Macaca mulatta: one gene and its partner. The main gene of each other region encodes a partner of the protein of the gene in region 2 in a complex. Links are inferred from orthologs where the notes say so. Each region holds a gene or a part of one and is shown on either strand. Other genes may lie near its edges.

Region 1 (2,492 bases), on a different chromosome or scaffold from region 2:
GCCTGGGCCATCCTCAGAGATTCCCCTGTACTTGTCCTGGGGTGAAGTTCATTCAGTACCAATTTTTAAAGCATAGAAAACTTAAATTTTGGAACTGAGTTAGGAAGATGATGTGAAATGCAGTGAAGTTGAGGGAGAAGAGGCTTTAAGGATTCAGAGTAAACCAATGGTACTTAGGCATTTTAAATATGTGCCATATTCTCAGTAATCCCTGTAGGAATTGTCTGCTTTCAAATTATATTTCAAAGCCACTCAAACTTATTTTCATTTAATTACAGCTACAGATTAAATATGGACCAAATGAATTTTTGGTTATGATTTTTAAAATTGTTCATATATCTAGATGGGGGTCGGCAAACTATGATAAAAGGTTTTATTGGAACACAGCCACATCTGTTTATATGCATATCATCAGTGGCTGCTTTCGTGCTGCAGTGGCAGAGTTCAGCAGTTGGGACAGAGACCATATGCCCGTAAGCCTGAAATATTTACTGCCTTGTCTTTTACGAAAATGTTTGCTGACTCCTGGTCTAGATAATCATGAATTCAGGGTATTAAAAAAAAATTTTTTTTAAGTTATGAAAATAAATATGAGTTGATTTATATCTAAAAATTGTTTTAGAAATTTTCTCTCTCTCTCTCTCTTTTTTTTTTTTAAATATAGATGATTCACCTCCAGCAGAAAGGGAACCAGGAGAAGTTGTGGACAGCCTGGTAGGCAAACAAGTGGAATATGCCAAAGAAGATGGCTCCAAAAGGACTGGCATGGTCATTCATCAAGTAGAAGCCAAGCCCTCCGTCTATTTCATCAAGTTTGATGATGATTTCCATATTTATGTCTACGATTTGGTGAAAACATCCTAGATGTCATCACAAACTGCCAAATTTGTGGAACTATGAAATGTATTATTTGTAGACATAAAGACTTGATTGCTTTCCAGTTTAATGAAAGCTTAAATGTCCCTGCGAACCCACAATCTCTGCCAGCAGAACTGGTTTTGTTCTGAATAGTACAGATTGATGTGAACACAAAGCATTTTGTGTAAGGAGAACCCCTTTCTTTTAAAAGAAGTCTGTCTATTTGGAGGGGAGTTACAGGCAAGTTTGGTAAAAGTTAAGCTAGTATCATAGTCATTTAAAATTGTAATAGATCTTAACCATTTTCCCCCTCACCTTAACCCTCTTATTCTGCCGCCACAATGCAAGCATAGTTTGATGTTTTCGTTATTGCCTTTTTTGAGATATATGTATCTGTATCTACCTATATCTATATGTGTGTATACATATATAATATATACACACAGATACATGTGTACACACACACACACACACACACCCCACACACACCCCATACTCCCCACACACCCCACTGGCAGTCTTTTCTTTGTGGATTATTAGTATGGGGGTGACATAATTTTCTTGAGTTTAACAGGAGTGCTTTACCCAAGTCAGTCATGGTTATGATATTACTGCTCTTTATTTCAAATTAAACTTTGGGCACAGGAAGCATATGGGAACATTTCAGCTTGTTTCAAAAAATCAGAAGTTCAGAGCACCTTTTCAATCTGGAGCCCTTAAACCATAAGTCCAAATATGAATTACTTGTGAACAGTTAATGACTCATTAGAATTTTACAATCTGGTGAAGAATCTGGGTAAAAGGCTACCTTTAATTCTAAGCTTTGAATTTTTTTTGTTGTTGTTGTTACATTTTAATCATAAATTCTTTTTAGCAAAGCCCAGGTCCTTGTTCCACACAGTGTAATGTAGGTGTATTTTGGACAGCACATGTGGTACATTGTGTACAAATCGGTAATCTGGATTTCAGTACATGAATTTAAAAGGCAACAATACATGACTGGTTTGCGTGTTTTTGGTAAGTTTCTGGAAGAATACTGTGCTTTTATATTGGAAGTGTAAGTTTTGAGTGGCATTGTTGCCTTCTAACAAGCTCTCTGGGACTTTTAAATTTTTATTACTATTATTGCTAATGTATAATTATGGTCAGAAACTTTCAACCCACCCCTTTCCCCTACCCCCTGGCTTTTCCTCACAAAGAATGTCTAGACAAATAGCAGCTTAGTCTCCTGACACCTTGTGGGGTGCATGTTCCTGCTCCAGGTGTGCTGTTAATGTGGATTCATTCCATTCAGTGGCCCCTTGGGGTTTGCATGTCAGTGATGCGTTACCATAGAAGAAAGCCAGCCGTTTGTGTTCGCTTGGTGGGTGTAAGTAATAGCAGCCCTTAGCCACGGAGTCTTTATGTGGTTAATTCCTGCAAGGTTGTTTTAAACTGAAATAGAACTGCTAGTGTGATTGGTTGATCAGCAAAACAGCTGCTCTCACTTTGTTTTGGAGGAACCCTGGTGGTTTGATAACCAGGAGAAAGGCCATATGTGAAACCAGTCTCTTGTGGAGATTGGAAATCCTCCCTGATATTTGGGCAGAGCCTAAACGTGCATGCTTATCACTCAAACACCAAAAGTTTGAATC
Region 2 (4,144 bases):
TCCTCATCTCTTCTCAATATTCCCTCTCTTCCTCTGTGTTGTTGCTGAAGAACCATCTCCCCTCACCAGAGCACCCCATTCCCCTTATGGATCATCTCCAACACAGCACACATCACCACCTCATACTTGTTTTTGGGATGTTCACTGCTTGTCTCCTCACCACACCATAGAATCCATGACCATGGCCAGGCGCGGTGGCTCACACCTGAATCCCAGCACTTTGGGAGGCCGAGGCAGGCGGATCACCTGAGGTTGCAAGTTCGAGACCAGCCTGAGCCACAGGGAGAAACCCCATCTCTACTAAAAATACAAAATTAGCTGGGTGTGGTAGCGCATGACTGTAATCCCAGTTACTCGGGAGGCTGACGCAGGAGAATCACTTGAACCCGGGAGGTAGAGGTTGTGGTGAGCCGAGATTGTGCCATTGCACTCCAGCTTGAGCAAAAAGAGAGAAACTCCATCTCAAAAAAAAAAAAAAAAAAAAAAAAAGAGAATCCATGACCACACAGATTTCTGATGTTTTACATCCGTATCTCTGGCATCTGTATCTGTATCTCCCGGCATGCAGTGACATTTAGTAATGTGTGATGAGGGACTGACTCGGTTTCCAACCTGCCATCACTGGAGTTTCCCAGGACTCAGTTCTTACACACTTCTCTACTTCCCTCTCATCCCACTGTCTGCCTGCTGGCAATTTCCGTTTACGCCACTAGCCAGATACTCCCAGGAAATCTAGGCTCATGTATCTGACTGCTTAGTTGACCTCTCCACTTGAATATGTCATAAATAGGCATCTCAAACTTAATTATATTCAAACTTTCATTCCCAGTTTCCCATGAGCACCGCAGCCTTCCCCATCTCAGAAAATGGGAAGGCTGTTCCTCCAGTTGCTCAGGCCAAAAACCTTGAATTCAATCTTTCTTCCACTCTCCACTGAAATCTTTCCAGCAGCTTGTGCTGCCGGACCTTTGCACTTGCTATTCGGCCTGAAATGCTCTTCCTGCAGATACCTGCAAGGTTGGCATCCTCACTTCCTTTGGGTCTGTGCTCAAAATTCACCTTATTAGAGAACACTTTCTGAACCACTCGATATATCCAATTAAACACCCATTCCCCCTTTCTCCTTGTCCTGCTTCAGTGATCTCTGAACCATTTATTGCCACCCAACATACTATACATGAACCTATTTCTCTGTCTTTAGCCATTGGTATATATATGTTCTTCAAGAGTAAGGTTTCAGCTGCTCTGTTTACTGCTACTACTTCCCAGCCTAAAAACACTAGCCTAAACAGCCTAAAGTAGACGTCCAGTGAATATTGGTTGAATGAATTCACCTGTCTATTCCCACCCTAACAGTGGGGGTAAGGCCACCCTTGCAGGGTTGAGAGGATTAACTGAGACAGCCTCTGACAATGCCCAGTGAACACTCAGCAAATATTAGCAGAAGTAGGAAAACAACCTGTCTTTTGGACTACATGCTCCGAGAAGGGAGGTGACCTTTATTTCCCTCATGAATTTTATAACCCTTCCAGTTCCAAAAAGGATGAGAGGCAGTGCAGACAGACATCATTCTGTTCGGCTGAGGTTCAATGAATGGCCTTGCTGCTCTCAACCTCTTCTGGGTACTGTCCCCCCAAAGAAAAGGCGGGTGGGAGAATGGAAAGATATTTGCATTTTCATGCATATTAAGTCTCCCACAAAGATGGCTCTTTGTTTTCTTATGGTTTGCAAGTTCCTGAGGACTAGAAATCGGCGAAGGGGGAGGGGAGAGCGAGTGTTCTCAGACTGTTCTTCCCATCCCCTCCCAAAGCTAATCTCATTCTAGCACTGCACTGCTTTTCCAAACTAGCTGTTGTATGCAGTCCCATTCATCCCTTCTCTCCAGAACCTGACACCTGTGGCTCCTGCAAGTGGAAGGCCCGGGAATGGGGATGAAGCGGGGTGGTGGGCAGGAAAGTCATGCTCGGGGAGTCCTTAAAATTCTCCTGGAGGTCGGCAGCGGCGCCCGCCTGTAGCCTCGGGCCTATAGGCTTCGCCGCCCCTCGGCCTAGAACACAGCCCGGCCGTTGTGCTTGCGTGAGACGGCGGCCTCAACCACCCAGCGCCTCTGGGGATCCGGCCTCCGGTGCTGGGCCCGGGAGAGGGGGCGCCTGGGCACCGGAAGATCCGGAGCGTGCGGGGCGTGGATCGAAGTCTCCAGACCCTGGGCGGGGGAAAGGGGGAGGGAGGGGAAAATCGGGGAGGCCTGAGCTTCCAAACCATGGTGGGGGAGGTGCAAGAGCGCGTCCTGGACCCAGATCCGAGAGGGAAGCCTGGGCCCCAGGATGAAGGGGATGAGAAGGTGCCCGGGTCGCGGACCCGACTGGGGAGGGACGGCCCCGGCCCCGCACCGTGACGCGGAAGTGGGATCCCCTCCATCCTCACCTCTGAGCATCGGCTCGGGCCGCGGAATTACGGCCACCACCATGGCCTCCTCCTCGTCCTCCCCTTCCTCGCATTTGAGCGTCACCTCGAAGCAGTCGAGTGCGGCGCCCTCGGCCTTTAGGGCCATGGTGCGGCCGTGGGCGATAGCGGTGGCCGGAGAACTGGCGCGCAGGCTTCGCCGCGTAGCCGGCAACCGCCTCCCGCCTCCTGGCCGGAACAACGCCGGGCCCGCTGCCCGCTCCGCGCAGCCCCCTCCCCGCCACCTGCCCGCCTGCCGCTCGCCGGCCGGCGCTGCGACCGGCGCGTCCGGGCCTCCCCGAGACCTCGGCGCGTCGGGAGCCCGGGCGGGGAGGGCTCAATCCGGGGCCCCTGCCCCCCGCCGCTCCCTTTTATGGAGGCTCATTGTCGGCGCCCGCCCGGCCGGCCAGCCGCGGACCCGCCCCCGATCCCGCGCGACCAATCGCGCGTGGCCCCGCCCCGGGCACGCGGCCCCGTTGGAATCCCTCGACCCAGGAGGCGGCGGGAAGGGCCGAGCGGACCCGGGGCCGCCCAGTGCGCGGAGGCAGAGGGGCCCCCAAAACCCGCACCGCGGACGTCTTAGTCGACTGGCCAAGCCCGGGGGTTTCCCTCCGTTCAGAAGTCAGTTGGGCGTTTCTGCTGGCGTGGAGAGCGCTACCAGGTGCCCCCGGATTTTGATCCGGAGTCGCTTTTGCCTTTCCGTGGACAAGCCTTCCTCCGCCAGCAGATGCCCCGGGCAGGAAGAGAAGCGGTGGGGGAGTGGAAAGGGCCTTGGTATGGAAGCGTAGAGACGAATTCCTTCTCATGTGCCGGCTCTGTGGCCATGGGCACATTATCTGTTTTATTAGACCGGCTCATCGTTTCTTTCAAAAAGCATTTCGGACCTTTCTGGGAAGGCAAAGAAGAGGAGCGGAGTGGACTGTGAGCGGACATAAACCACCCAGATGGGTATGATTTCCATTTTTTACACGTGAGTCCAGAGATTTTGTGACCCTCTCCAAGGACATACAGCAATCCCTTGAGAGCCCCAAGACCAGAGTCCAGTTGCCATGACATTGCTTCCCTATAACCACACTCTGGGTGAGCTTTTACTTCTGTGACATGGAATGTGCATCTCCCTCTTCTATAGCAACCCTCATGAGATTTCAGCTCAGAAAATGCAAAATGTCTGACACTGAAAAAACATCTTCAAATGTCGTTATATCAAACCAGACACAGTAGTATTCAGAATCGCGTAGTAGGATGGGGGTATGAGAAGAGGTGTGAACTAGTCTATATGGATTGCAGTCAATTTTTTTTATTATTATTATTTTGAGACAGAATCTCCCTCTGTCACCAGGTTGGAGTGCAGTGGCGCCATCTTGGCTCACCACAACCTCCGCCTCCCGGATTCAAGCGATTCTCCTGCCTCTGCCTCCCGGGTAGCTGGGACTGCAGGTACGTGCAACCACGCCCGGCTAATTTTTGTATTTTTAGTAGAGACGGGGTTTCACCATGTTGACCAGGATGGTCTCGATCTCTTGACCTCCTGATCCGCCCGCCTCGGTCAAAGTGGGATTACAGGCCTGAGCCACCGCGGCCGGCCTTGCTGTCTATTTTTAAGGGAATTATTTTGTTGTGTGCAAGTGTATCCGGTATTTTAAAGGTTTTACAATAGAGGTTTTACCAAGCCTGTTTATTTCTACTGAATAGTCATCCTCTA

What was found. Proteins that work in one complex are often made in the same cells at the same time.
Region 1: the proteins of SPINDOC (region 2) and SPIN1 are in contact, whole or in part, in a crystal structure (PDB 7CNA), measured with the Homo sapiens proteins. The link is inferred for Macaca mulatta from reciprocal best matches to the Homo sapiens genes SPINDOC and SPIN1. Residues at the interface, in NP_612480.1 of Homo sapiens: Phe256, Ala258, Pro259, Ala260, Val262, His264, Phe265, Thr266, Asp267, Ser269, Phe270, Pro271, Gly273, Phe274, Val275, Leu276, Gln277, Leu278, Phe279, Ser280; in NP_006708.2 of Homo sapiens: Met154, Thr169, Tyr170, Glu171, Pro174, Pro206, Val209, Val210, Leu213, Lys216, Gln217, Val218, Glu219, Tyr220, Thr229, Val232, Val242, Tyr243, Ile245, Phe247, Asp249, Asp250, Tyr254, Val255, Tyr256, Asp257, Leu258, Val259, Lys260, Thr261.

Annotation. Positions count from the first base shown.
Region 1 is NC_133420.1:119,101,195-119,103,686, forward strand, and holds part of SPIN1 (spindlin-1), read left to right. Parts: intron 1-664; coding exon 665-864; 3' UTR 865-2,492. UniProt on the Homo sapiens protein: Chromatin reader that specifically recognizes and binds histone H3 both trimethylated at 'Lys-4' and 'Lys-9' (H3K4me3K9me3) and is involved in piRNA-mediated retrotransposon silencing during spermatogenesis.
Region 2 is NC_133419.1:10,603,047-10,607,190, forward strand, and holds the start of SPINDOC (spindlin interactor and repressor of chromatin-binding protein), read right to left. Parts: upstream 2,855-4,144; 5' UTR 2,552-2,854; coding exon 2,425-2,551; intron 1-2,424. UniProt on the Homo sapiens protein: Chromatin protein that stabilizes SPIN1 and enhances its association with histone H3 trimethylated at both 'Lys-4' and 'Lys-9' (H3K4me3K9me3).